Linked DNA regions of Rattus norvegicus. The protein of the gene in region 7 interacts with the protein of the main gene of each other region in a biochemical or structural test. Links are inferred from orthologs where the notes say so. Each region holds a gene or a part of one and is shown on either strand. Other genes may lie near its edges.

What was found.
Region 1: of the proteins of Rb1 (region 7) and Ccne1, one has a biochemical effect on the other in vitro, tested with the Homo sapiens proteins (9 studies listed by BioGRID). The link is inferred for Rattus norvegicus from reciprocal best matches to the Homo sapiens genes RB1 and CCNE1.
Region 2: the proteins of Rb1 (region 7) and Mrps18b form a complex in vitro, tested with the Homo sapiens proteins (2 studies listed by BioGRID and IntAct). The link is inferred for Rattus norvegicus from reciprocal best matches to the Homo sapiens genes RB1 and MRPS18B.
Region 3: of the proteins of Rb1 (region 7) and Casp3, one has a biochemical effect on the other in vitro, tested with the Homo sapiens proteins (2 studies listed by BioGRID). The link is inferred for Rattus norvegicus from reciprocal best matches to the Homo sapiens genes RB1 and CASP3.
Region 4: the proteins of Rb1 (region 7) and Mcm7 form a complex in vitro, tested with the Homo sapiens proteins (2 studies listed by BioGRID). The link is inferred for Rattus norvegicus from reciprocal best matches to the Homo sapiens genes RB1 and MCM7.
Region 5: the proteins of Rb1 (region 7) and Dnmt1 form a complex in vitro, tested with the Homo sapiens proteins (2 studies listed by BioGRID). The link is inferred for Rattus norvegicus from reciprocal best matches to the Homo sapiens genes RB1 and DNMT1.
Region 6: the proteins of Rb1 (region 7) and Ccna1 form a complex in vitro, tested with the Homo sapiens proteins (2 studies listed by BioGRID, with this or other methods). The link is inferred for Rattus norvegicus from reciprocal best matches to the Homo sapiens genes RB1 and CCNA1.

The regions. Positions count from the first base shown.
Region 1 is NC_086019.1:99,925,094-99,929,566, forward strand, and holds the start of Ccne1 (G1/S-specific cyclin-E1), read right to left. Parts: upstream 2,817-4,473; 5' UTR 2,671-2,816; exon of another isoform or gene 2,557-2,670; intron 2,186-2,556; 5' UTR 2,163-2,185; coding exon 2,140-2,162; intron 2,037-2,139; coding exon 1,949-2,036; intron 1,714-1,948; coding exon 1,645-1,713; intron 1-1,644. UniProt on the Homo sapiens protein: Essential for the control of the cell cycle at the G1/S (start) transition.
Region 2 is NC_086038.1:2,841,731-2,846,100, forward strand, and holds the start of Mrps18b (28S ribosomal protein S18b, mitochondrial), read left to right. Parts: upstream 1-1,275; 5' UTR 1,276-1,294; coding exon 1,295-1,378; intron 1,379-2,558; coding exon 2,559-2,664; intron 2,665-2,758; coding exon 2,759-2,856; intron 2,857-2,962; coding exon 2,963-3,031; intron 3,032-4,370.
Region 3 is NC_086034.1:52,410,778-52,415,326, forward strand, and holds the start of Casp3 (caspase-3), read right to left. Parts: upstream 2,956-4,549; 5' UTR 2,915-2,955; exon of another isoform or gene 2,910-2,914; intron 1-2,909. UniProt on the Homo sapiens protein: Thiol protease that acts as a major effector caspase involved in the execution phase of apoptosis. Following cleavage and activation by initiator caspases (CASP8, CASP9 and/or CASP10), mediates execution of apoptosis by catalyzing cleavage of many proteins.
Region 4 is NC_086030.1:22,155,227-22,157,976, reverse strand, and holds the end of Mcm7 (DNA replication licensing factor MCM7), read left to right. Parts: intron 1-582; coding exon 583-751; intron 752-842; exon of another isoform or gene 843-924; intron 925-1,046; exon of another isoform or gene 1,047-1,133; intron 1,134-1,228; coding exon of another isoform or gene 1,229-1,264; exon of another isoform or gene 1,265-1,479; intron 1,480-1,485; coding exon 1,486-1,595; intron 1,596-1,741; coding exon 1,742-1,943; 3' UTR 1,944-2,056; downstream 2,057-2,750. Other genes in the region: Cops6 (COP9 signalosome complex subunit 6), read right to left, coding at 2,586-2,726. UniProt on the Homo sapiens protein: Acts as a component of the MCM2-7 complex (MCM complex) which is the replicative helicase essential for 'once per cell cycle' DNA replication initiation and elongation in eukaryotic cells.
Region 5 is NC_086026.1:27,731,687-27,735,557, forward strand, and holds part of Dnmt1 (DNA (cytosine-5)-methyltransferase 1), read right to left. Parts: intron 1,904-3,871; coding exon 1,785-1,903; intron 1,577-1,784; coding exon 1,484-1,576; intron 706-1,483; coding exon 554-705; intron 263-553; coding exon 75-262; intron 1-74. UniProt on the Homo sapiens protein: Methylates CpG residues. Preferentially methylates hemimethylated DNA. Associates with DNA replication sites in S phase maintaining the methylation pattern in the newly synthesized strand, that is essential for epigenetic inheritance.
Region 6 is NC_086020.1:141,390,365-141,394,958, forward strand, and holds the start of Ccna1 (cyclin-A1), read right to left. Parts: upstream 2,937-4,594; 5' UTR 2,688-2,936; intron 2,599-2,687; exon of another isoform or gene 2,387-2,598; intron 1,920-2,386; 5' UTR 1,896-1,919; coding exon 1,731-1,895; intron 1-1,730. UniProt on the Homo sapiens protein: May be involved in the control of the cell cycle at the G1/S (start) and G2/M (mitosis) transitions. May primarily function in the control of the germline meiotic cell cycle and additionally in the control of mitotic cell cycle in some somatic cells.
Region 7 is NC_086033.1:54,789,654-54,793,524, forward strand, and holds part of Rb1 (retinoblastoma-associated protein), read right to left. Parts: intron 3,750-3,871; coding exon 3,645-3,749; intron 2,583-3,644; coding exon 2,469-2,582; intron 2,367-2,468; coding exon 2,203-2,366; intron 1-2,202. UniProt on the Homo sapiens protein: Tumor suppressor that is a key regulator of the G1/S transition of the cell cycle. The hypophosphorylated form binds transcription regulators of the E2F family, preventing transcription of E2F-responsive genes.

The DNA.
Region 1 (4,473 bases), on a different chromosome or scaffold from region 7:
ATTTGAACTCAGGACCTCTGGAAGAGCAGTCAGCACTCTTAACCACTGAGCCATCTCTCCAGCCTGGGATCCCGTTTTAAAAACAAAAATAGTAGCTGAAGATAAGAACCAAAGGTCTCTGTGGGCTTTCAGTATTATTGAATTTAGTATGAATCCTGTCACTGGGCTGAACTTAAATCCAGAAAAAAATTCTAAGCAATTAAAACCCAAACAGACAAAACTACCCACCCCAAATTCTGGCTTTATGAATCTTCACAGAAAAAAAAATAGTTATTTTTAAGCTATCTACTCTAGAAATTCAACATGAGAACACTTTCTCATGACTGGACTCCACTCATGTGCTATGACCCTCATCCCCACAGTGCAGACGAGGAGCCAGTCCTTTCTTGGACACTCTGGGCACTGCTGTTACTCCTGAGATGTGAGCCTGAATTTCCACAACGCCAACACTGATGGCTGAGCTTCACTCTCACTTGGACGTTTCTGTTCAAAGCACAGCTGGCAACACGAACAATCTTGAATTCTACAAAGCATGGTTTATCTTAATAACAACTTGCTGAAGGTTTTAAGGGAAATGATGGGAGAAAAAAGAATGTGAGATGCACTTTCCTTCTGTTGGGGCTACTTTTTTTTTGAACAGGAAGAAAACCTGACCCTTTAATGTCTAGTGGGGTTCTGCCTAGAAACACACATTACTGCAGCCCTAGCTGGCGGAACATCATTGCCCAGAAGACATTCTTCAGAACCAGCTGTCTCTCCCTGCTCTCAAAGTCACCGCTAGCCTCTTTGGGAGAAGAGAGATGAGGTCAACAGAATACTGTTCCTGCTCAGCTTTATCTGTGATGAAGGTTGAAGGTCTCACCAACTACTTTGGAGATAGGCTGCTCCCCCCACTGGAGCCATAACTATAGTCTCCAGCCATCTCTGGAGGCAAAGAGATAATACAAGCTCTCTCTGCAAGGATCTTCTGAAATTATGATACCATGCTGCATTAGAAAGATCTGGCAAGCGCTCCACAGGAGGGGACAGAAGTGGAGCGGCCAATGAAATACTGGTTCAGACACACGTCATCACAGACCCTTGCTGAGGCCATGTAAACGTCCAGACAGCGGTAATCAATGCAGTCAGCTGACGGTGGAACATTCTGGGCCACATAGGAGAAAAGTTTTTTTTTTATTTTTTGCTCCAGGATCTTACTATATGGTCTGGGCTGGTGTGGAACCCTGATTGCCCACCTCTGCTTCTCTGCTGCTGGGATTAAGAGAAGTCCCAAGTATGGATGAGGGAGAAATAGTTGAGAGTCCTATCCCCCAGCTAGCCTTTGTCAGTAAGACTGCAGGCCCAGCTCTGCTCTGGGCTTGCAAAGGATTCTGGGTTCTAAGACTCAGTTTCCCCTGGGTTTAGAAAGCACAAATTATATGGCACTCACTCTGGTTCCTCCAGGTATCAATCAGTACCTGTAACCTTCAAGGTGCCATTCAGGAAATGCAAACCCTTCCCACAACCCCAGGCCCAACAGAGACCAGGCCACACTGACAGGCTCCAGAGGCTCAGCCATGTGGCCTGTGGCTCTGGTTTGGGAAACTTGGAAGAAAGAAAGCATGGAACTCAAGAGGCTGAACACCCTGTAGGCAGCAGACCTACCTGACTGCTATCCTGGCTTTTCACAGTCTTGTCAATCTTGGCAATTTCTTCATCCGGATCTTGCAAAAACTAAAAACAAAAAAATTCCCAGTTCACCAAGGGTCCACACGGTGCAACCCAAAGACAAAAACACAAGAGAAAAGAGGGAAAAAAGTTTTTTAGGTTCTGAACGGCATTCAACTAATGGAAACCTCCCCATCAACTAATCCTCTTCACTAGTAGGTGAGAAGACCCAAATTTGGTACCCAGGTAAGATGAAATGGGGGGGGGGGTCCCCTTCCCAACCTGTATCCTTTGTACTCACAACGGCCACATTTGCCTTCCTTTTTCTGGATCGGACTGAGAGGTCGGAGCCACCTTCTTCTTTCATGTTGCTGTGGTCCTTCGAGTCTCTGCAAAGGCATGGTGTCATGGGGTGCTGCTCCCCCAAAACTCATTCTGCCCCTCCCCCACCGCTACTCACCCTTACCCTCCCGCAGCAGGGAGGCCACTCACCTCTCCTTCCTCTCCCTTGGCATGGCTCAGGACTTGGAACTCAGACCTGGGAGGACATCAAGTAGGCATCGTGGTGAGCACGGCCCGCAGAGGGGACCCGAGTCCTCCAGTTCGTCCCGGGCACCCCTCCCCCCTCCCGCGCGGGCGGCGGTGGCGGCGGCGGGAGCCTCCCGGGCCCGGAGGCCGGCCGGGAAAATGGCCGATGGGCCCGGGTGGCTTGTCACCCGCAGGCGCCCCCGGCAGCCTGCGACCCTGGGTCCGAACCTGAGGTTGAGGATGGAGGCCTAGCCGACCTTTGAGAGGACCCCCCGCTCCATCACCGCCCTCGGGGCCGGGGCTGCCTCAGTGTCCCTTTCTACACCTACCCCCTGACTCGTCTCTCACAGCCACCCTAGCCGGGGCACCCCGAGCTGATACCTCAGGGGACCGGGTGACCGGGTCTCGCCCCACCCCCACCCGGGCCCGGTCCGGTCGGACCCGGTCCGGAAACCTGGGAGTCGAGGGAGTCCCGGGAATCCAGGCAGCCCGTACCCGAAGCTGTGTCCGCCGCAGGCAGGCGCGCTCGAGCGGACAGGAGGCCGACGGCAGGCGGGAAGCAGGAGGCGGGAGGCGGCGGCCGAGCGCGCGGCGCTGGCGGGATCCGCGCCTGCCCCCTACACCGCGCTAGCTGTCGAGCCGGCTGCTCCTGCGCCCGGCTTCGAGCGGGACATTTAAAAATCCCAGCGCGCGGTACCGGCCCCGTCCCGCCCTCGCGCCCCGCCCCGCGGGCAGCGAGCCCCTCAGCGGCCGCCGCAGGCCCAGGGCCCGCCCCGTCGCCGCGCGGACCAGCGAAGAGCTCTGGTTGAGGCGGGGCTTCCCAGAGGGCGTGTTCTAATATGGGCGTGTCCTGCACAAAAGGGGTGGGGCTAGATGTCAGGGCCTGCGCGCCGGGGGCGTGGTGCGGACGTGGTGGGCGGGGCCTGATCGGGGCGGGACGCGGGAGAGTCGAGTGGCGCGCGCGGCTGCGGGGCGGGCTCGCTGACGCGGGAGAATCTTGGCGCGAGCGCCCGAAGGATTAGGAGCTTGCGGGGCCGCGAGGAGCCGCGTGGGCCGCGCAAGTGGAATGTTACCTCGGCAGATTGCAATAATCGGCGGCCGGGCTTGACCGCAGTGATGCACCTGAGGGCCGGGCGTACAGAACCCGTCGTCCGCCTGTCTCCCGCGCGCGCGCACTGTCCTTCCCGGCTCGTCCTCCCCGCCCCTGAGACACAGAGTTCCGGGCCGAGTCCGGTGCGTGGGTGTCCCCAAGGTCACAACAGCTCCTGGGACCGGAACCAGCATTCAGGCTGCTGCTGTTAGATCTCATGTGGACCAGCAGCAGGTCCTTTAATCTGTCAGTGTCTCTAGATCCATTCATTCATTTGGCTATCCAAGCACATTTCTGTGCCTCTAGCCCAACCCGCCTGCAATAGGCCTCTCTGACCCTCAGGTCCACATGAGGTGAGGCAGTCTCCAGCATAAAATTCTACTCCACGTGTTTTCATCAACCTCAGAATAAGCACATGCCTCACAACGTGAAGTGACCCTCAGCCACCCAGACCTGACCTTCAGCCCTCCGCCTGAGCTGCTGGATCCAGTATTCGGTGCCCTTTCTCACCCCAGAGCCCCAGTGCTTGCAGTACTCTCTCCTGACCCATTCCAGCTGTTTGTGTTTCCGGAAAACTTGAAGGCCTATGGTAACCACTTCCTCTCCAGCATACCTTTCCCCAGGACGTCCTCTCCAGTGTCCAGTGTCGCTGCCTTGCTATGGCAAAGCACTTGTTTCCTTGAATCTCTTGTTCTTCACTCTGTTTTCTTATCCTCTTGGCCCTTCTCGACTTGTTCGAGCTCTAGATTAAAAGGGTCACTTCTCTTATGTTCGTAAAACATATATATATATATGTTTATCTCCCATCCCACACTGACCCAGGTCTGTGGAGCATACAAGTTACTGAGAAAGACATTTTAAACACAATGGCTACTAGCAAAGACCTGTACTCAACTTGTTAAAGTGTATAAGGCAGAAGGCAGGCAGGGTCTGATACCTCTGGGGACTTTCCTCAGGGTAAGTGACTGTCTCTGGAAGTCAAAGTGGGGTGTGCCCTTCCCACAGGTCCCGACTAGCAAACCGGGGGTGTCCCAGGCTGCTGAGAGGATTTGTGCACGATGTCATGAGCAGGTTGAGCCCCAGATCCCATATTCTCCAAACCTTGTTGGTTTCAACAGCAGATGATTAAACTTCAGGCGAAACTTTGGATTAAGCCCTATAAAATTAAAGCCTACCCCTAAGAATTTAACTAATGCTATCATGCTTGT
Region 2 (4,370 bases), on a different chromosome or scaffold from region 7:
AGGAAAAAAAATAAAACAACCAACCAGGACCCAAACTCAGTTACTTGTGGGGCCTCATTGGATCAAAAAGTCTCTTAAAAAAGTAAAGACCAACTCAGTTTTCATTTTCCCCCCACCCAACTCCATTAGGGAGAGGGGGTCGTTGAAAAAAATTCTGAGTGGACTCCAAAAAGGAAATGCTGGATGAGTGAGATTGGGTGGGTTTGGGTAGGGAGGGTGGTTGATTATTTTTGAAGTTATGTGGTGACGGTCCTTCGGCCACAGATTTCAAGTCCCAAGCAGCGTGGGCTGGTGGGGTGGGCAAGATAGGTGGGGAGGGGCAGAAGACACAAGTGGTTGGGCTGGTGGCTGCTGTTTTCCCTTTCCCCCCTCTCTCAGGATCCTTTCAAGGGTTTAGATGTTGCTGAGGCTTGTTTGTTTTCCTGATGGCCGGCCTGTCTTTCTCCGAGAAAATTCAACCTGGGGTAAAAGGAACACAAAAGGAGAAAGATGTCATCAGTACGGGTCGCCTTTAAACGTTTCAAAATTCCTTGTTGTCCCAGGATGCAGCCGCATTAGGTAAAAATGCGGCTGCCCAGTAAATCCAAAAAACACCCCACTTCCCCGGCCAACCGCTCTCGGCAAAACGTTACCCTCAAAGCGACGGAGCACCCAAACTTACCTCTAAACGAACCCCAGAATGGCGGCCGCCCGCTCGGGCGGAGTCTTTTATACCCGGCCACCGCCCAACGCACCCTAACGTGATGGAGAACCGCCCTCGTCGTGACACATTGTGCGCGAGGGGAACGCTGATTGGCCACAGTAAAAGCCGGGTCGCCCGCGGATTGGACGTCCCTCCTCCACTTTCCTGGAGTCCCTTCCCTTAATCCCCTCTTCCGTCTCCTTCGGATCACCTCGGAGCCAGCGCGTGATCGCCGTGTCCGGCACCTCCCCTTCCTCTGCCCCCAACACTTCCGCCCGGGCAAACGTGTCTCACCCTCGGTTGGTCGAAACGACCGTACGCATGCGCACTGGGAGCACCTTAGTCAAAATCGCAATCAAAATTGCTTTCGTGTTAAACACTAACCATGGAATTTATGAGCCATCGTGACTGGTCCGGGAGAAATGCAATTTTGAACGCTAGTTCGATTGTGACGCAGTTTAAATTCGCGTCCCTCCGCGGACCCCGCCCTTTGACGCTTCCGTCCTTAGGCACGTGAGCTGCCGCCTTCCGCCTTGCGGGGCAGGTCCTTGGCCCCGCCCTAGTCCTTGTCCGGCGCATGCGCAGTCGTTCTTCCGGCAGGCCGTACGTTGGATGTGCGACAAGATGGCTGCCTCCTTGCGGCACACGCTGCTAAGGCTGTATCCTTCACTCTTACGAAGTTCCTATGTAGCTCAGGTAAAACGTGGAGGAATTTCTCTGCCGACCGGTGGTGTCGATACTTTCAACCTTTGCTGCATTACGATGAGTTAAGGGGCACGGGTCTTCCCATATGTTTACGTGTTAGATCTGCACCACCCTCTGTTCCCACGGCGCGCGATTTCTTATATTTTTGGTTGTGAGCCTAGCCTTTAACGGCTGAGCCATCTCTCCAGCCCACGGCGCGCGATTTCTAAATACTGAGCGTTCGGGTCAGAACCAGGGTTACGTGTCATCGTCTCCCCCCGACTACCATTAGGAAAAAGAACTAGGTGGTGGGGTTACCCCAGTGGAAATGAGCAATTCATAACTAGATCGTTAGTACCTGAAGTGGTACCCAGAAAGTGTTTTTGTAGCAAAGGGCCTATTTTAAGATTTTCCCCCCCGTTGTTCCGGAGACAGTCTAGGTTGATCTCATAGGTGCTCCCTGAGCTTTCTACCTCTGGTTCCCAGGTTATGGAATTAAAAGCAAGATACACCACTCCTACTCCACCTTTTCACACATCATTTTCTTATCAGAGCATGCGTGAGAGTCTAATTCTGCTCTCTAGATTGAGATTGCCCTTTAGCCTGAGGTACTCACCACCCTGGAGGTTCTTGGCAGGGCAGGGAGAAATAGGAAGGCTTGTCCGGACGCCACTCCCTAAAATGGGACTACAGAGTGGTGACAGAGGTTACCACCGAAGTAATGACAGGCTTGGTGGCTTTAAAGCTAGCGTTAGCACTCACATTTGTTTTGCCCTGTGGAATGTTGACGCAGCATTTTATGAAACTGGTCACCGAAGTGACTTTGGATTTTTCTCATCGATTTGAATCACCCCTGCTCCCCATGAATCTTACTTCCAAAGGTTTGGACATATTTTTTCCCAGTAGAACCAACTAATGCTCAAGCAAGCTCAGATCTTAGTATGCCAAGGTTTTTAAATCGTTACATCCCACTAACAACCTCTACCTTGCTGGCTTATCCTACAGGATCTGATTGGGGAGCCTAGGTAGAGTGGTTGTCAGTTTAACAACAACAGAATTGCTACTTTCTTATATCTTCTTGCCAAGTTATGCTGATATTTTTGTGCACACGCTCCAACTCTCCCCAAAGTATGATAAACCAAATAGTTGCAGCCTTTTCTTGGAACTCCTCCTCCTTTCACTCCCTTCATAGGTTCCCCTCCAGACTCTCTGCACCAGAAGCCCACCTGAAGATGCTTCATCCTCACTTCCCGTCTCCCCTTTTGAGAACGAACCTTGGAAATACCTGGATTCAGAAGGTACCCAAGTTTGGTGCAAAGGAGAGGAAGATGGGGCTAAAAGATCCCTTCCATTCTCGAATGCATAAGTAAACTCATCTGGTCTTTATTTCAGAATACCAGAACCGCTATGGCTCTCGCCCTGTTTGGGCTGACTACCGCCGCAACCACAAAGGTGGTGTGCCACCACAGCGGACCCGAAAGACATGCATTGTAAGTTTCTAAGGTTCTCATCTTGGTGGGGCATGAAGAGGAGGCCATATTGAAGATAGCATAATTCTTTTTTTCCCACCTCTCCCTCCCCCCCTCCCCCCCACAGCGTAAGGATAAAGTGGCTGGGAATCCTTGCCCCATCTGCCGGGATCACAAGTTGCATGTTGACTTTAGGGTAAGGAGAATCTTTTATCCAGAATTAGAATTTGTGGCCTCTTCACAGTGCTAAAGAGATTGTCTGAAGTGTCTCACAGTCTTCTGTATCCCTGTACCCACAGTCTTATTTTTCAGTGGTTTGTCAGTGTGAAAACACCCCTTTTGAGCTGGATTTGGTGGCACACGCTTTTAATCCCAAGTTCTCAGACAGCCAAGTCTAAAAGTAGACTTGGTTAACATATATCTATAACCCCATCCACACTGGCAGACTGAAGCAGAAGTGTGAGTTCCAAGTTCCAGGCCTTCTCATAAACCTACACTACGTATTACAGAAAGGGAGGAAAAGAAAGCTTATTTCTGCGGGGATGATGCTCATAAGTTAACTCAGGAGGTAGGATGAGACAGTCTAAGTAGCCCGAGTACCTTCAGACTTAGGCAGCTGAACTGAGACCACACCTAGGTCACAGGTTAATTTTTTTTTTTTTAAGAGTAGATTTATTAAGGAAAGACCTCCAAAGACAGGGAGAGTCCGAAGATCGTTTACAAGTGTTTCATCCTGTCTTGGTGGGCAGAGCTTCCTTCATTTCCCTCTTTCGAGATGGCATCCATTTATGTAGCCCACACTAGCCTCAGCTCACTGTCCAGTCTTGGCAGGCTGAGTTGTGAGAGCTCAGGTGCGCACCACCTTGCCTAGTTGTCCGTATTCTTTGTCCTCCCAGTGTCCAGTGAGATGCTGGGACCTGGGGCCAGAGGACTGAGGTACAGAGTACAGTAAGGTCCTCTCCCATCCCCTCCCCCCACAAAAGCAGCCTTTAAAAATGATGGGGCTTGCTTCTGAGTGAGTGCAGGAATTGTAAAGATGCTCAGAGGGGCCAAAGCTGGGTATACAGCGTGTCAGGGTGTAGACGAAGGTGCTCGTCCTTCAAGCACATCACAGAGGGCCACAATGCCTTCCCAGGCTGTGTGCCTGGCAGGTTACAGTGACTGGGCTGGGCACCATGGCAGGCGGGTGAAGAGTAACAACCAGTTCTGTAACTCCACGCATGGATTTGCTTTTTTCCCTGCTCACCTCCTGTGATTGGTGTGTTTGGTTGTCTTACGTAATTAGAACGATTGAACTGCTCGCAGTCTTACAGCCTATCGAATTACTTACTCATTACAGATTCATTCTTTCTGGGTGATTTCTGGACCTTGATGACCACCCCAATTTTTGCCCAAAAGTGGACTATTAGGAACATGGCTTCTCCATAACCCAGTGGCAGATACAGAATGTGTAGGTGAAATGAGTTGGTGAGAGAGACGTAGAGCAGTAAAGAGCAGCTATGAGAGTATTGTTGGTTTTGTTGTTGTTGTTTGGG
Region 3 (4,549 bases), on a different chromosome or scaffold from region 7:
GGAAAGGAAAAGAAAATATGGAGAACATATCATAGGAACAAATAAATCATCTTGCTTTCTTGTTTCTGGAATGAATCACACAACCAGGAAGGCAGACCAGCCTGATGAAGCCCTTTGTCTACAGCTAGACCACCCTGAACGCGATGGATCTCGTCTAAGGAAGCTCTCTGACCTTGAGGCACAAGCTGGAAAGAATGTGGTGCTTACTATCTGCAAAGGGTCTGTCTTGTCCTCTCCCAAGCGAAACCTTTAGAGGATAAACCTATATGCTCTTAGGGATGTGTAAGAATTACTGACCTGTTTGAAAACAATTTGTTGTTGTTGTTGAAATAAAAGTAGAGTGGAAGATCCTTAATGTCTTTTATAAAAATGACAGATAGCCATGTAATCTACTGAATATCAACCGTTGAACCCTCAGCGTATTAAGTAGTGGAAGAGGCAGACCCTATCCCTATACAGAGCTTATATTCTTGTTTGCTGGTATCTAAAAACAGCAGCAAGGCAGATGTTAATTAGCCCACATTTAGTCCTTATTAGATAATTTCGTTGTACTTTAGCAGAATGAAGCTCTCCAGGCAATATTGAAGACCAAAACAAAGAGGTCAAAACAAGAACTATTATGGAGAATGTCACCCTTAACAAAACATTGTCACACATACTATTTCATCTGATCTTTACAAAACCCTGTGAGCTATATAGATTATGCTTTCTTTATGAAGGAGCAGGTAAGCACCCAGGTCCTGGCCTCAGACAGTCAGATGACAGAATACTCTTTCCTCTCCAAAAATATTTTTTAATCTGTTAAAAGACTATATAAAACAGTACTTAAGAATGTAAAAATTTCCACATCATCTTTCAACCTCTATCACTGGAGTAGAACTTTAAGTATTATCTGACAGGAAGACCAGAACTAATGCAATGTGTTTGAAGAAAAGACTGTATTGTAACTTTAGAAAGCGGGTGAAGTGAATATGTTGCTAAGTTTGAAACCATAGAGTGGCACTGGAACCACTCAGATCAGATAAAGATATAGGGTTCTTACTTAAAATGGCAGGAGACAGAAACTTTCTGCAGGACCACAAAGCAATCTGATTTAATTAGGTGCAGAATTTCACTTGTTACTTTGTACCAGTTGAACTGCTAGGCTTCAATAAACTTCCACTAATTAAAACACATTCTCACTTTGCAAAAGCCTTATTCTGCTGGACAGCAAATCAAAGCCTTTAAAGTTTCAACACTGGGTTGTGACAGGGCTCTACCATTAACACATCCAAAGTGGCTTCCCAAAGGCTGGCCACACCCCCAGTTTAGCATCTCCTCGGCTATTTTGTATACTCAAACTGTAACAACGGCCCCACATTTCCCACCCACCAAAATCTCCTAATCCACATTTTAATCAACCATTTTGCTGTAATAAAACAAATGGTTGAGCAATCACTTGTGCAAAAAACCCAGTAAGGAAGGGCACCATGCTAAAATTAGTGCCTAGCAGTGTTTGCTCACAGTTCTGTAGGCAAACAAACAAGCAAAAGTAGAGGAAATGACAAGGCTGCTTTCAGGAAATGCCTGCCCCAAAGGAAGGAATGGGAAGATTCAACCTTGAATTGTTAACTAAGAACTGAAACCTCCGAAGCAGCTCCTATTCATAGACAAATGTATCAGTGGGGAGAAAAGGTGAGACGGTGCACTGAGGGAGCAAAGAAAAACCAAAAGGACACGTGATTAAAGGATAAAACGGGGAAGACAGTCAAGACCCAGGGTTTGGCTTTGCCAACCCGGTTAGAGGATAGGCTTTTACCCTTAAGCCCTAAGGGTAAACACGAACAGCTAGAAAACTGTTTTTGTTTATGTTTTAAGGAGTGCACTGGAGAAGAACCTTGGGGGGTGGGGGGGAGGCAGAAACCTGCAAGGAGGTTGCTTCAGTTCCCTGAGGTGGGTAACAATCTGGCAGACACCTAGAAAGTCCACAAGACTCAGAAGGGTCAGCCAGGTATAAATCTGTCAGATTCATAGGTCTACAAGGCTCAGTGACTAACAGCGGAAGTTGGGTCCTGAGAAGGTCCCTGAGAAGGGTTTCCTGGGTGACTCAACTAAGAATGAGGTAAAGACCCTGCTGCTCAAGTCGGACTTCAGAGGAGACCAACTAATAAGTGTGAAGTAAGGACAAGCTCTCTGTGCATGGTCCAAGAGATGTCAATGCAAGCTCCTACAGTGACTGACCAACAAAGGAATAAGGTGGAGTATTTAACGAAAGGCTTCAGGGTAAGAAAGAGAGTTGGAGGAGCAATGCTTAAAATTAGCTCTCCACAAGAACCAAAGATGCCACTGGAAAAGACCAAAGGTAGAGACCAAATACTCTTGTAACAGGGAGGCTGGGTCCCTTAGAGCCGCCTTAAGGTCAGCATCAGCCTATTCTTCAGGCCCCAGAGCAGAACTTCCCCTACCCATCCTCTGCTCCGGAGTCCACACTTCAGCCTGCAACTCCAGGATCCCGCCACCTCCAGCCACACGGCTCCCAGGCTCACCCCAACTATGGACTCACCCCCTCCCACCCCTGAAGCTCGGTGCCCAGGGCAATCTCCGGATCCCCGGACTCCGCCTTTTGCGCCTCGGCGCGGCCCCTGCGCCATATTCGAGGGTCTGAGTCCTGCCCCGGTTCACCCAGGTTTAGGGACACCAGCTTGGCCTCCCGGGTCTGGGCTCCCAGCTCCAGACCACGCTACCGGCGCTGTTTCCAGCTTCTCTGCCTTCAGTGCTTGCCTGAGCAAGCCTGGAGGCAACACAAAGGATCCTCCGCCCAGATCGCCCGTTTCCCCCGCCTCTTCCTAGGAGCTGCAGACTGGGCGACAGAGCGCCGGCTCCCGGTGGCAACGCAGGTCCTGGAAAGCGCGAAAGCAGCAGACACTCACCGTACCGTTCCAAGCTCCGCACCTCAGGACACTAAGCTTTGATCCCACCAACACCAACACTGCATCAGCAGCCTACCGCCGGTCCCGCCCACGCCCCGCCCACGCCCCGCCCCCTCGACCTCCTCCTCCTTCTCTTTATCCCCTCCCCCAACCCTAATTTCCAGCGCGCCAGGACTGCAGCCGAGCCGCGGCAGCGCAGGCCCCGCCCACCGATGGCTCACCCTAGAGCCCCGCCCCCTCCGGCCCCGCCCCCTCGCGGGGGTTTCAAGTTCTGGTTCCCGCCATCTCTGCCTCCACCATCTGCCGCCTCCGGCCGACTTGCACTGCTTGAGGTAAATTTAGAGAGGTCTCTAGGCCAGGCCTGATTCCAGGGTCACAAAGGTGGGCGTTCAGGGAGACGCCTCTGTCAGTCAGAGCTCCGGCCGGAGAAAATAGGGCTAAACCCCCGCACTCGCAATCTCTACTTCCTCTCAAATGAACCGAGGCCTTTCTTCCGCCTAACTCTTGCTCCCTCAAGTCAGAAGCCCTGACTACCTTACTGAAATCTCCGACTGCTTTGGGTCCTATTTCAGACTCTGACTCTGAGAAGTGTTTTTTGCATAATATACGAAAACATGAGCAAAGCAGTCAGTATACTTCAGGGGCCCAGGATACTCTGAGGACAAATTCACTCCATAGAGCAGTAGCTTGCTTGTCCCCAACGCAATTGCTTGGTCGGATGTGAGGGACTGTAGTGTACGTAGGTACCCAAATGTCTACCATTCGCTGCGTGTGGAATTCGAGCTCTTACATTTCCATAATACATTTCTTAGTTTTTCCAGTTCCAACAGAGGCTTTAAAAGGATAAGTGGTTTGCCCTTCTGAAGAGCCATAGTAGTTAAATGCAGATTCCAGAAACAAATTAATCTATCATCATCCCTCTCAAAGTGAGTGAGGATCAGCCAGTTTCTGTTGGGAGAAACTTTCGCATAGGTCGCACTCAACCCTAGCGATGCTTCGTGGAGGCTGTAGTTCACAGGGAAAAACTAATTGAGAAATCCTGATCTCCTTGTTGGGCACTGACCCATCCCTGTGCCAAACGTTCTTAACCAAATGATACCTTAGATGAAGTATCCTCAGCCGTTCTCTCCGTTATGTTGACTTCATCTTGTTAAAGCAAAACAGCTGGAGGTGGTATTTTTCGTCTGAGCCCTGTAATTTCTCCTCACAGCCAGGACCCATAGGGAGCTGAAGTGGTTCTGGGCCTCAAGAGAGAAAAAAATCATGAAAAGCAATATGATGCTTTCCAGGTTGGGCAGCTGGAGTAAGAGGGCTTCTGAAGTAGTCTAGGAACAGGGAGTGGGCCTTAGCTTCCTTCCATTTGGTGACAAAACTGAACTAGAAGTATAATAGATAAACGTTTTCAGGCCTACATCTGCAGGAAGATTTAGTCTGTCAAGATAAACTACATGTCAATTAAATGATAACTAAATCGTTAACGGATATACTTTCAAGAGGCTGTAAAAATGGTGTGAATGTCATTGGTCTGGTAAAGTTGTCCTGCTTTGGGTGGGGAATCAGTGAGGAGGAAAAGAACCTACACCTGGAACAGTATATTGTTATAGGGTTTCTTATCCCTTCTGATAGGTTTTAGGGACATT
Region 4 (2,750 bases), on a different chromosome or scaffold from region 7:
GTGTCTGAAAAGCTTTCAGTCTGCAGAGGACAATGTATTTACTTCCTCCTCCCTCAAAGTAGCTGAGCCTGAGAATACTGAGCCTGGGTCTTTAGCCACAAAGCAAGGGATCATCAGAAACTTTTCTGGTTTGGGGTGACAGCAGCAGGCTGTAAGTAAACTTAGCTGCTGTGCATCCTGAGGCAAGGGGATCTTTTAGAGATCTTTTAGGGGTGTCTCCAAAAACTACTGGCCTCCCCCATATATAAAAGGGTCTCCCTTACTGTCTTCTTCTTGTCTTAGGCAGGTATAGCTTTTTGGCCGTGTCTGTTTCCATAGCACAGATGACTCAGCACCTCACAAATCTGCAGGTTTCTAAATTGATTTTCTCTGGGCCTCTGAAGTCTGTCCCCTTATGTGACAAGTTCAGAGGAGTTAAATCTGCCCAATGCAGGTGCATTTGTCTTGCTTTGGGAAGCCTAGAGAAGTCCCTCAGTTATGCCTAAGCAAATAGTTGTCCACTTCCAGCATAGAATATTAAGTAGGAAATCTCCTATAAAGCATGCATGTCTTCCGCTTTCCCATGAGCCTTGTTTCCCACAGACGGTACATTGCCATGTGCCGCGAGAGGCAGCCCACAGTGCCTGACTCTCTGGCTGACTACATCACTGCAGCGTATGTGGAGATGAGGCGAGAGGCCCGGGCCAGTAAGGATGCCACCTACACTTCTGCCCGGACCCTGCTGGCCATTCTCCGACTTTCTACTGCTCTGGTGAGTGCTGGGTCCCTGTCTGCTAGAAGGCTGACCCTTGCCTGCCACCTCACCTAATGTCCTTCAAGCTGCCTTCTTCCCTCCCACCAGCCCTGCTGGGACTAAAGTGCTGACAGTGCAGATAGTGGTCCTCTCTGTGCTACCGCACTGTGGGTACTTGCTGCTCCAGCAGGGCACATGCAACACCCACGGAGGGAAAGGCTGCTTGAATCCACGAGGGGGTTGGAAGGACTTGAGTTCCTGATGCCCTAGATATCTTAGAAGTCTTCCTTCTGTCCTCCCCTCTTGGACCTTTAGTCATGGGGGCTCCAAAGTGCTGTTCGTGCAGGTAGTGCATTGCCTGACCTACTGCTGAGCTAGCACTTCCCGAGCCCCCAGGACACAGCCTCTGACAGTGGCCCTAGCTGAGCACCCCAGGCTCCACTTGTCACGATGGGGAGCCTAGTGGAGTTCAGAAGGGTCTGGTCTCCCTCACAGGACGGCAGGACACCCACCGGGACTGGCCAGTGTTGAGAGGCGGAGACACGGGCAATTGCTGGACGCTGCCCTGGGCATTGCACTTGTCTCGGTCTGACAGTGCCGGCCCAACACTGCAGATGTGGGGGGCAGGGAAGAACCCACTTTTGTTCTATGAGTAGGCGAATGTGGCTTGCCCGGGTTTGAAGCCAGAGCAGAGATCCTTGGTTTCACCCCTCCTCCCCTCCTATCCCTATTTCCCCACGCCTTCCCCTTAGGCTCGCCTTCGGATGGTAGATATTGTGGAGAAGGAAGATGTGAATGAAGCCATAAGGTTGATGGAGATGTCAAAGGACTCCCTTCTGGGTGAAAAGGGACAAACGGCTAGGTGAGTGTCTTAATGAAATTGGGCTACCTGACATAATTGAGCTGGTCACTTTTGTGGCTTCTGCACATGGACAAGTTTGACTTCAGGATTTTGGTGCTGATGGCTACTGGGCCTTGCACTTAACCTTTTCCATCCTTGTCTTTCAGGACCCAGAGGCCAGCAGATGTGATATTTGCTACCGTCCGTGAGTTGGTATCAGGGGGACGGAGTGTCCGCTTTTCTGAGGCTGAACAGCGCTGCATATCACGTGGCTTCACACCAGCCCAGTTCCAGGCAGCTCTGGATGAATATGAGGAGCTAAATGTCTGGCAGGTCAATACTTCTCGGACACGGATCACCTTTGTCTGACAGCCAGTTTTTGAGCCCTACTGCCTACCCCAGAAAGTTTGCGTGATGCCCCCTGAGAGGACAATTTCCCATGCTGCACTTTTTTATTCTGCCAATAAAGTGTTTTGACTGCCTCCTGCTTGGGTCTGGCTTGTTAATGCTTTCTGAGCCTAAGTGCTAGTCAAGCTGGAGGTATAAGGCCTTGGAATGGATTTTTGGTTTGTTAGACCCCCACATGACACATCACCCCCGAGGTGCCTCCGGGATATAGGAAAACAAGGATTTGGGTTACCCAGAATTATTAAGATGGGCTTGGCATCCCTCCCCTTCCTATACTCCCTTCACTTTCAGTGAAATTAGCTTGGGGAAACAGTCATTTGTCTGGAGTCATTTTCTGGAGAAGTTGAGGACAGAACAAGGAAGAACTGGAAAGTCAGCAGGCAGTCCTATCACATTCTGTCTACAAGGGTCCTGAGTCATTAAAAGATAAGTGGGTCCTGTCTGAAGAGTCCAGGTGAGAAACCATTGTGCCTGAGAGGACAAAGCCACTGGAAGGGCTGCTAAGGGGCTGTTCTTTATTAGTGAGTTTCTCTAAGGGGAAAGTGCTCAGTCCCGTGGCACAGTTGTCTGAGCCCCATACAGCATCCCTTCCAAGAGCCCTCATCAGAAAAACAGTCCCCGCATCCGCCTGCCGATGCCTTGTCGGTCATACAGGACGTTGAACTTGTTCACAAACTGGTTCATTGTGTTGCACGTTTTGGTGATGGTGCCGAGGTAGGCCATAAGCCCCACGTCATTGCATTGCTGGGAGGGAACAGAAAGAACCAG
Region 5 (3,871 bases), on a different chromosome or scaffold from region 7:
GGACCCAGGCGCAGGGGACTGCCTCCTCTGGTCTCAAGCTCAAGCCTCCCACCCGAGTCTTGATACATCCTTACCTCTGTCCCAGCGAGACACCAGCCAAATGGATCAGGGACCTCATACAGGGAGACAAGAAGATGGGCGTCTCATCATCGTCCTTAGCGTCGTCGTAACTTTCTACCTGGCTCACCACAAACTGGGCATGGCGTAGGAGGGAGTCCTCGGTGAACCGGTTCACATTGATGGCAGAAGGAGGAACAGTGGTCTGTAGGGGAAGAAAAGATCATGTTTCTAGTATTTCGCGTCCTTGTAACACTAGGGGATGGAGAGCCTAGTACAGCATGCAGGCTAGGCAAGCAATGTACGACTGTACCATTAAGCCACAATGTGCCTCAGCCCCTCACTGAGGAACTCTAGGCAGGGGCTCTACAACCGAGCCACGCCCCCAAGCCTGCTTCATTCATCCGTCAATCAAAACCCTTCTAGTGGTAACAGAAGACTGTGCAGATTTTTATGTGGATCCAAACCTACCAGAGAAGGCAAAGTTCTCACCCACCTCGATCTTATTGATCAAGTCTTCATAGACAGCGTCAGGATTGCTCTGCAAGAACTCGACCACAATCTTGCTGATGTAAATTTTCTCCTGCATCAGCCCAAATATTGGTGCATACTCTGGGCTGGGCTCCATCAGAAAGTATTCAGCAAATGCTGGGAAGAAAACATATGACCTGGGTTTTTTAGAGAATATGGATGATCAGTCCAGTTAGGATGGTTAGCATTTTACCTGTTTATATAGACAGCTGCTTGGTTTAAATAATGGGGTCTTGCCATGTTGCCTAGGCTAGCCCTAAACTCCTCCGCCTCCTGAGTATCTAGGACAACAGGTATCAGCTTTGTCCAGCAGGTAAAACATTAAAAACAGCTGTTTCAGGGCCAATGAGATGGCTCACCAGACAAGGGTGCCAGTTTGCAAGTTTGACAACCTGAGTTTGATCCTAGGGACTCACAAGGTAGAGGAAGATCAACTACAAGTTGTCCTATATGACCCACATGCATGCTATGGTGCACATAGTAAGTGTAGAAAAAAATTTAAGGCCATCTCAAAACTGATGGCCTCCAAGATGAACACAGGGCAAGCATGAATCTACCAAGTTTCCAGAACAGAACAGTCTACAATTTATCCTACAACCAAAAAAAAAAAAAAACCAAAAAAACAAAGCAAACAAAAAACCCACAACCAAACCCCAAAAGCCCAACTTCTCCATTAGCTAGTACCACTCGGGCCAGAAAAGGGAACTTAGCTAGAGCTGGGACCCATTCAAGTTGTAAGCATTTGACTATTGTACAACCAGAGGATCCACTTCCAGGCCGGTTACGATGAACGCCAGTCACCAGATCCCGCCAATGCTAATGACCCCTCTGCACAAAGCCCATTGAGCCCAGGCAGCCAGGAGGCTCCAGGACACCTGTGACTGCAGACACTCACCGGTAGAAAAGCCAATGAGCGCCTTCTCGCCACCGTCAAAGCCACTGATCCACCACTGATTGATTGGCCCCAGGTTCTTGCCATTAACACCACCTGTGGGAAAGTCTTTCTATAAGAAACAGACTAAACATGGCGACTTGTACCTCCCATCCCTGCCAGGAAGACCCAGCCGGCATGCTGCCTCTCCAAGATCTTTCTGCAGAACTTTGAGCTCTCCCTTGAAGCAGTACCTCCCATGGGATATCTTGCCTCCAAATTTGCTTGCTTCTTGAAACAACCCTTGTTTGAACATTTCACCTACCTTCCACAGACGGATTTTCTTCATGAATTGCTTTGGCAACACCAGAAAAGTAGAGTTCAACGTTCTTCTCAATGAGACCAGTGTCGACAGGACACAAGTGACCGCGACTGCAATACACACTGAACAGACAACAGACATCACTTTACCACCCAACCCAACACTGAGGGCCATGTTGGTCTTTGCCAACACTGGTCTTCACCCAATGGTGACTCTCACTCCCCTCTCCTGTACTACAAGCACACACGGTAACGTCAGAGGGTTCCTTTGAAGCTGCAGCTGTAAGCGGTTAGCTGTGAGCTGCCCTATGTAGGGATCAGAAACTGGAGTTTACTCTCCAGACTAAAGAACACCGTAGTACCAGGCCTGTCACTCAGCCAATGCAGAGTCCCTTATGTCTCCCAGCTTCCAGCACAAAGGTTGCAAGCCCTCAGCATCTTCCCGCACCAGGGAGGTGGCCATAAAACTCAACTGAGGGAGAAAGCCTGGGCTCAGCTGTGAGGGTGCCACAGTGAGACTCACAGCTATCTACAGGGCAGGCTTCAAATGGCCCCTTGGAGGTTCTCCTGCCTGTGAGGGCCTAGCCCTCTAGATCACTGGCAGACAGAATCCTCTATGGGAACCAATCTCCTGCGGCAGAGAGAGAACAGTCACCATCCAACTGGTAGGGAGGACAGTCACAGCCACACTGGGGGATCTTGACTCAAATGGCTCTAGGTACTTCAGCCCATGATGTGTTCAACATCAGAGCACCCAGGAGTTTAATGCCTACTGCGATGCCAATGGGTGCTCCTTCCACCACATATAGCCCAGGACTTGTGTCCAGCCTGGTCACATCCTAGCCCTGATTCTCCACTAGCCACTATGGCCTCTACGTTTACTGCCTGCTCAGTTCAGGCCCAGGTGAACCTTCAGGCAAACTAAGCACACCCAAGGCGGCTGCCTCCTCCTCCTCCACGTCAGGCCTCCATTCTGACTGCAACTCTGCTTTTGCCATTTCTGTCTCTCCATTTCCCACTCCTTGATCCCCTCCCCCTGCGGCCCAGCCTCTCCTCACTACTGAGCTGTTAGGCGGAGTATTGTTAACCAAAACCCCACAGGAGTATTGTTAACCAAAACCCCACAATCCCAATATCGAGCATGAAAAATACATAGCACACAAGCACACAAGAACTGCCATTCTGCTCCTTTCAAACAAATAAGAGATGCTGTCTGAGCCAGAGATGGCGGGCACGCCTGTAATGCCAGCACTTGAAAGGCAGAGGTAGGAGGACAACCAAAAATTCAAAGTCAGTCTGGCTTGGACGGCTGTGTCGGAAGCAGGAGACTCTGAACTTGGTGAGCATCATTTCAAGATGAGGGTCCCATCTTGTGATAATACACACAAACACTGCAGAATCACCCAAGTCCAAGTGCCTTGGGGTTGCAAGTATTAAATCATCTGTGAGCATTCACTCGCTGTTTCTCTGTGACAAGGCAAGGCTCTGAGGAGCTACGTCTGTGGAGCTGGCCCTCTGCACAGAGCTGTTCTTGTGTGAGCACAAGGATGAGCTTCAGAAAGGCACAGACTAAAGATTTAGCTTACAGACTGCACCAACCACAAAGCAGCCAACAAACCTGGGGGCGTGGCTTAGGATGAGCTCGCTTGCCTAGGGCCCAGAAGACCCTAGGTTCCCGATCCAGCAGTGAAAAAGCATCAGAACAATAACGAAGCTTTGTAGCCAGGCACAGTGCTGCAAACCTTTAATGCTAGTATGAGCTGAGGCAGGCAGATCCAAGTTGAGTCTAGCCTGATCGATTTAAAGAATTCTAGCCAAGGCTACATAGTCTGAATCGTCTGAATCCTGGTTTCAAACAGAAAAAGGGGAAAGGGGAGAAAGAGAAAAACTAAGCTCAGTGGTGGCGCACCTGGAATTCAACACTAGGGATGAAAGGAGTTCACAGACAACCGGATGACACAGTTAAAGACCCTGTCTCAAAAACCAAAAGCAGGTCTGGAGGTTCAATCCCACCTTCAACCCCAGCACTCGGGAGGCAGAGACAGGCAGATCTCTGGGAGTTCAAAGCCAGCCTGGTCTACAAAATGAGTT
Region 6 (4,594 bases), on a different chromosome or scaffold from region 7:
CATGTTTGATGTACATGAGACAGAGCAAAGAGAAGAGAAAGAGAAGTTGTTGGAGAGCCAAGTTCTTGAAAGCCAGGAAGCCATGAGGGGCTTCGCATAGGTGCAAGAGCTGGGACACAGCAGTAACAGAACAGCATGGGAATGGCCCAGGGAAGCATTAGGAATTGCAGCTGCTAACCCAAAGACAACAAACCTGCAGTGTCAGAACTAGGAAGGCTGGGGAAGGAGGAGCCTGAAGTTGAGGCCATTTAGAGCTACATGTCAGTTCAAAGCCAGCTTTGCTAGACTCCCCCTACCTCCTGGAGTGGGGAAAAAGAGAAGGTTCAGACTATGGGATACTTCTGAGAAATCAGATTATCTTATTCCTTATTCAGAAGGAACAGGACTTATGGAGATTAAGGAATCAAGATGACTTTGGGAGTTAAAGACACTCCCTGACAAGCCTGGTGATCTGAGTTCAAGCCCCGGAAGGAGAGAAGGAGCTTCCAAACTCGTCCTCTGACCTCCACATGAATGCCGTGGCAATGCATGCTCACAGACACACAGCATGCATGTACGGTTGTACATACACAGTAATACGGAAATCAAATTATTTTAAAACCAAGATGCAAACAGATTTTTTAAAAAAGAATGGGAATCAGGCAGCAGAGGGTGTGTATGGTGGAGTGTAGAGGGGCCACCAAGCAGTGGCTCCAGGCAGCACCGGTGTGAACATGAAACAAGGTCATTTTAGTACAGACACCAGTTCCAATTCATAAATTCAGGTCTCGGGTGTAAGTTTAAAGAACGAACATTGCTAATCAAGTTCTACTTAAACTCCTGTCACTTATTAAAAGGATCATTTTGGGTATCTCTGACATCAGTGGATCAAGTCCTTACAAAAGGCAGTGGCCTTGAAGGAAGTGATAAGGGGCCTCTAAAGGAGCCTCTACCAGAACACTTGGTACTTCCAGACTGGACTCCTGTAAGCACCAGCTCTGGGTTCCATAGACTCGCAATACGGAGTACAAGCATCCTTATGTCTAGTAGCAGGCTGGGGGTGGGGGTGATTTTATTTTCTATCTCAAAAAAAAACCATCATTGCAGATTCAGATTTCTTCTCTTAAACGTCTGGATTCCTGTCTTCAGTGAAAAATCCTATAGTTGGTTTGGAGCAGACAAGTATGTAACTATCCCAGTGTCCATTCCTGGTCTGCAGTGGTAGAGATGTGAGCTCTAGAAGCAACTTTTATTTTATAAAGTAAGCTGGTGTATCCTGGCACACACAGTGTGCCCACGGAGCACAGCATAAGCTCTCCCTGATTACTTCGTGGTGGCCTAGCTCCTCCTGAACACCTTTCTGGCCCAGAGCATCTCCAGGGCTATCGTACAGCGTAATTGCATTCTTTCTGGCTAGCCCTCGAGTCACTTAACCCAAAACAGTCCCTACACATATGTTCTTCATGGGGGAGGCTACACACACATATGCACATATGTGCGCACACGTACACTATCACAGAAAGCCTTCTTTATCTACAGCATCTTTCCCAGCGTTTGTGACACACAGGCACGGGTGCATGACTGTACACACACACACACACACACGCAGCAAGGCTTCTTTCTCTGCAGCATCTTTCCTGGTGTTACATGCACACACGCACACACACACACACACACACACACACACACACACACAAGTATATTGCCAACCCTTCTCCGTAGAGTATTTCCTGGTGCTCCTGGGTCATTACCTGGCCACAGGCCCTCCTGTACTGCTCATTTTCAGTCAACACTCCTAGCACGGTTCTCTGTGGGGGATCCTGGCCAAGCTGAGCTCGGGTGAGCATCTGACAAGCATCAGGACCTTGGCCCACTGGAGGCAGTGCGACTCCACTCTTCGAGCTGTGGCGACGCATTGCCTAGCAAGCCACAGCCTGCTGCTATCCCGGAAAAAGAAGGAGACACAGTTAGTTTACTTCTCAACCTGGGGATCCAGAAATGCAGAAAAAAAAAAAAAAAAGAGTGCCAAGCCCCAGAGGTCACAACTTCTCAACAAACATTAAGGTCCCAAGTGACAGCTCACGCATCAGAACAACCAACTAACTCAGAATGGTTGAATGGTTGAATAGTTGAATGGTTGAATGGTTGAATGGTTGAATGGTTGAATGGGCTTTAATATGACCCCAGTCTTAAAGTTGCAGAGAGAGAGCCTGCCCAAACGCCACTCACGATTCTCTGCCCACATTAATTTAGGGGAGGGGGAAGCAGAACCTATGATTCCTGATCCTCCTTCCCCCACACCCTCTTCCTGATCTGGGGCTAAATCCAGGATCCCTGACTGGGGACAGATGAGTCTCCTTCCCAAGCGATAAGCAGGTGCTTCTTTCCAGAAGTAAGTCCCCCAAACCTGCTTGGGAACCCACAGCCGGCCCTGCTTCTCAGGTTCTTCTCTGGGCGATTAGCAAGCGCACCCGGGCCGGGGCGGGGAGGGCGGGGCCGTGCGCAGAGGGAGGGGACCCCGGAGTGGAGGGATTCCAGGGGCGTCGGCTCCAGCGGCCTTGACTAGTGCGCTCGCCACTGAGGACTTTCGACCCAGCCGCGTCTGTTGAATCAGCCAATCAGCAGCCACCCCGAGCCCAGCAGAGCCGCTTCCATGCCAACCGCGGCGGGCGTGCGCCCGAAGCCTCATCGCCCTGGCGACCGCTCACCTGCAGCGCTGTCCGCTGATGCTCGGCCCCCGGGGCGCTGCGGGGCGCGGCCAACCGCGCAGCCCGGGGCTCCTGAGCCGCAAAGCCAGGGGTGCCAGGCACACCGAACCGCAACGCACAGCACGTCGCCACTCGCGCCCCTTGGTCGGCGTCACCAGGGAGGGCGGATGGCGGCCTGACCACTGTGGCCGCCCTGAAAGGGACTGTTCCCCAGGAACCGGTTCCCCCAACAGACACGAACCCCTCCCGCTAACGTCTCCTGCGCGGCCCGCTCCCGAGAACCCTGGCTCGGGAGAGCGACGCGGGGCCCTCGGGCTGCGGCCGTGGCGCCCTCCTGGCCGGCCCGAGGGCGCGGCTCGCTCTCCTTCCCCATCTCCTTCTCCAGGACGCCTGCCCTCCCGGCTCCCGATCCCGAGCAGCGGCTGGCTGGGCCACATTTTAGCCTTCCAGGATGGCCAGGCACCAGGCTTGTGGCAAAAGGAGCTGGGAGAGATTTGGAGCCTGTAGCGTAACTCGAGGTGCCCCAGTCACCCGTGAGAGGTCTTCCTTTGGGCACACACGGGTGCAGGGAAGAGGAAAGAACGCGGGGAGCCTCTGGGACTTGGATGTTGAGAGGGCATAAGGAGAGATTCTGAGCTGAGGTCACTGCTCCGGTGACCTGGCCACGTGTGAAGGGAGAGTCTGGGGGTGGGGGTGGGGTTCAACTACAAAGAGGGGTCTAAAAAAGGCAAATCTTGAATACTGCAAACCCTGGTACCTGCGGAGGCGACAGGCAATCAGCAAACTGAGTTACATAATTGGTTAACTTCTTTTGAAAAATAATGAAAGTATTTATACACACACATACATGTACTCACATATATGTGAGCACCGGATGTATATGTATATGCATATATGCATATATATCAGATATATACGTGTGTATATGCATACATGTATATATCTTCATATACATAGATACATAAATATTCTGTTACTGCTTTTGCTTAAAAATAAAAATCCACCCCTAAATTCCCAAAACAGTCCCAAAGACTTTAAGCAAAGGTCATCAGCCTGCCTAAGTGTATTAATTGATGTGTTCACCAGAGGCTTACCAGCTGTGAACTGTCTCAACCGACCAGAAGCAGAAGATTCCAAGAAAAGTGTGGACTCAAAGCCATCTGATTGAGCGGCTTGTGAAGAGGGCTTTGCAAAGCATTCCACCAACCCACACTGGATGCAGAAGTGCAAAAAACTCCTTGTTCGGTATGACTGAACTTCTACATGTTGCATCCTCTAATTCTCGGTCCTCAAATATGAAGATGACATATGGGGTTCAGGAACATATTGGTTGCTGCTGGGACAGATGCTGCTAAGCCACCCAGGACCAGATGAGGTTTGTTTGTTTGTTTTCAAGGTGCTCTGACTGGTGAAGGCATGCAGCCTATGAGACTTCCTGGAAATCTTCCAAGAAAGCAAACTGTCCTTGTGATTGTTGAAGGGCTCAGCTAACTCCTTCTGAACCTGGCAAGTCCTTACTAGAGACAGAGAGGCTTGGGAGGGGACAAGCTTTGTTCTAGAGACTAGAGCTTTCTGCGTTCATTTTGATCTTGGTGGTTGTTTCTAGGAAACTTCTTTTCATTCTCCCAGGATTGGAGCTTAAGAACCTAGTTGGGACCTAAGGAAGATGTTTACAAAGACATCTACAGAAATGTCTATGGCCGTTAGGCTGTCTTCACATAGATAAGAGGTTGTTGGAGAGAGGACAAGAGAGAGCACACGCTATTGGAGGGGGTTGAAGAAGACCCCACATGCATGGAAATTCTGAAAGAATGACTGAAAAAGAAAAGAATTGAAATAATCAAAGGGGACCCTCCAGTAAAATACACCTTTCATGTTAAGACTCACCTCTTTAACTAGCTGTCACC
Region 7 (3,871 bases):
GGCATGCAAGCAACACTCGCCCCAATAAATATAATTTTATAATGTGTGCTTATAAATAATAAGATTTTAATTAGGATTTATACTGGTATATAGTAAATGCTACTTTTATGTATCCTATAATCAGAGATACTTATCCCATTTGTCTTCATTTCAACCACATTACAGGGGTTGAACCAGGCTGTGTATGTGTAAGCTAGAGCTCTATCACTAAGCTCCATCCCAAACCTTCTTTGGCCTTTCAGACAGGGCCTCACAGAGTTGCCCAGCAGGCCTTGAGCTTGTGATTCTCTGGCTTTGGCCTCCCCTCAGCAGCTGAGATTACAGGTCTATGTTACCAGACTTAGTTATAACTTATATTTTTGATAATCAAGTTGAAAAAGTATTTCTATATGTAGCTCAATAAAGAACTAGTAGCTATGTAAATTTTATTGTCTTCCATTTCTTTAGTAAGTGACATCCTTCCATGTATATTTGATCAATCAGAATACCTAAATATGTTGCATGGTTCTCTAAAGCCTCATCAGTGATGTGCCAGTTAGGATGTTCATGATTTGACTCTTCCCCAGCTAAAACGAACACCAATGCATGCTGGGCATGTTGCCTCATCCCTGTACTTGGGAGACTGAAGCAGTGAATTTGAAGTTATACTGGGCTACATATTGAAGATATAGTTTCAAAGAGAAAAAAAATTAAGAATGTCAATGGGGGGATAGGAACTTGGAAGAGGGGAGGGTAGCAATAGGAATGTAAAAAGAATAAATTACTAAATTAAAGGGAAAAAAGAATAGCAATACAAAACTGCTTCTGATTAAGATCAGCAAACAGCCATCATTTTTATCATAATGTGGATCACTTATCACTATCAGAAACTTCCGATATACATGCCATGTCATGCAGCAGCATGGCACTCTGTGAATTTACTTCAGACATGTGTGACATCTTGGCATGTTACAAGGTGAGCTGAGGCTACCTGCACACAGACATCAGCTACAAAGAGCATCATACAGAGAGAGGGATCTAGATACACACAGGAGCTTCCATTCATGTTCTTCTACAACACTTGAAAACTTAATCACAAGTGTACATTATTCATGTAATTAAATACACCATACAGATATCTGCTTAAAAGGTAATAAAGCTCTTCTTCTCGTTTACTTTCTTGCCCACCAGGTGCAAACTACATGTACTGAAAACTTCTGATGAGATGGCATTAATTATATGAGTTAATTGGACTTCTACTTTAAAAACATTCAGCCAGTTTCAAGTAGCCTATGATAACACATAATTAATGTAGTGAAGGACTTCAAAGCCAGAGACATGATTTGTCACTGCACAGAATCTTTCATCTGAGAATTTAATACAGCTTCATGTTCATTTTGCTTGAACCAGTGTCTTTCTGAAACAGAAATGTCCGATGAAATGTAAGAAATCCACCAGTAGAATTAAGAAAGGTGGGTTTTCCTGACAGTAATCTACACTTAGTAAGATATCTTCATTTTAAAAACATACTTACTTACTATAATTACTGTGTGTGAGAGTGTGAACAAGCATCTCAAAGTCAGAAGCTGGTTCTCTACTACTTCTATCCAGAAATCAAACTCAAGTCATTAGTTTGTGTGGCAAGTACTTTTACGGGTGGTACATATTGCCAGCCTTGATGACTCCATTTTCAAAACAAGCAAAATACTAAGATGCATACAGTTTCCAGTACATTTTGAATAAAGATTCTGGGTATGATGGTACACACATTTAATCCCAGCAATCAGGAGGTAGAGGCAGGTGGGTCTCTGGATATGTACCCTGCCTGGTCTACTTAGCAAGTTCTAGGCCAGCCTAGAGCTACATAGTGAGACCCCGTTTAAAACAAAACAAACAAACAAACAAACAAACATGTTAACCTAAAATGCTCTACATTGATGGCTTATAAAACTACTAGTGTTGAGGCACACATGAATACTGACTGGTTCTCAGACTATACACAGAAGAGACCTAGCAGCTGGGTAAGCACAAGTAATATACAAGCCCATCCAAGCACACACCTTTTCTTTGCCCCCCCAATTCTTTTCACATATTTACTTAACGCACATAAAGAAAGCAGACATCCAACAGCCTATCCCGTTTTGAACTTTAAGAAAGCTTAAATCAAAATTGTCAGGTTCAGCATTACTGTTTTCAGCATTCCCTTAAAAAGGAAACACCAACCTTGATCTTGGAGTCATTTTTGTGGGTGTTGGCAGACCTTCTGAAATTTTATAAGGACTCTTTAGGGGTGATATATAGATGTTACCTCCAGGAATCCGCAAGGGTGAACTAGAGAACTTGTAAGGGCTTCGAGGAATGTGAGGTATTGGTGACAAGGTAGGAGGCTAGACCCAAAACAAAAGGAAAAAAGATCATTGAGCTAATGTTTTGGTGGGATCCATTACTTTGTCATTAGATTTCTCCAGTTAAAGAATATTTCAACATACCCTGGTGGAGGCATACTGTAAAATATTTGTTTTTAGTCTCTGCATGAAAACTGAGTTGTAGAACACTATAATGGAATCAAACTCCTCTTCTCTGATCAAAACACGTTTAAAGGTCTGAGGAAAAAAAACATGTTAAATAAATTTAAGAACTTCTCTTTAACTTTTCTTTTAAAATAGTTGTACATAGTTTTATTTAAAAAACACATTTTATACAGAAAATAATAATCTACAAAGGCTCCCTTAGACTAAAATTATAGATACTCTAAATATTTAAAGTGACCAAGCTGATCCAGAGAAGGGGCCTGGAAGCCACAGACAGATGCTGGCCACTCTACAAGGAAGGTAGGCTGTGCTTACCAAAGCCCGGCACCATCACCACTACTACACAGACAGTATCCACTGGCCTGTAGCAGCCTTCAACCTCTCATCTAAAGGGTTTAGAACATGGACACCATGCTCTTGCAAGAAACAGACATTGTAAGTAGATTTTACGAACAAACCCATTTTTATTTTTATAAGCAGGGTCTAGGTTTGCAACTTTGTCCTTGTGATATCTTCTTCTCACTTATCATTCTGAGTAGGAATTATAGATCTGAGATACCAGGTCCAACTTGTATAAATGTTAACTTGGTAAAACTAAAGAAATTTTATAGAGTATCTCTGTAAAACAATCTATATAACTAATTTAGAAAATAACTCCCAATATATGAGTAAAACCAAACTGGTTTGTATCACTTTCCAAAAATACAATGACAGACTGAAACAATAACCCAGGATTCACTGTGCGTTCCAGGACAGTGTAAAATGTGTGTCAGACTAAGTGTGATTACCATGATAGCATCTCTGTGGGAGAAAAAACTAGAGACACAAAATGGGCTTGCACTGGGAAATTTTATATCTTTATAGGGATTCACTTACAGTATCTTCTCCTGTGAAAAATAAAAACTAATATATTATGTCAAAGTTAATTTCAAATATCCCAGTTACTACTATATAAATATAGTATTATTTATGAACAGCAACTATGGATTTAGATTTCATAGTTTGCCATACTTTTATACTTCAGTTACAAATAATTATAAAATTAAATAAGAATATATAATCTCTATTTAACAACTGAAGCAAACTATGAATACTGATTTATTTTTCAAAGTCTTACCATGAGAAACTACCTACCTCCTGGGCAGCGTGAGGAAGATCCTTATACGCAGTTACGATGATTTTGAATTTAAGGTCAATGTTTTTCACCTTGCAGATGCCATACATAGAACACATCATAATCTAACAAGTAAATGTGACAGAGGCATAAAGGACTTTATTATGTCACCTTGCTTTTTAAAGTATTATTAAAAGAAGGAAGTTTAATTTATTCTGAGTTTTCCCCTTATTCTGAGCTGTTCGAA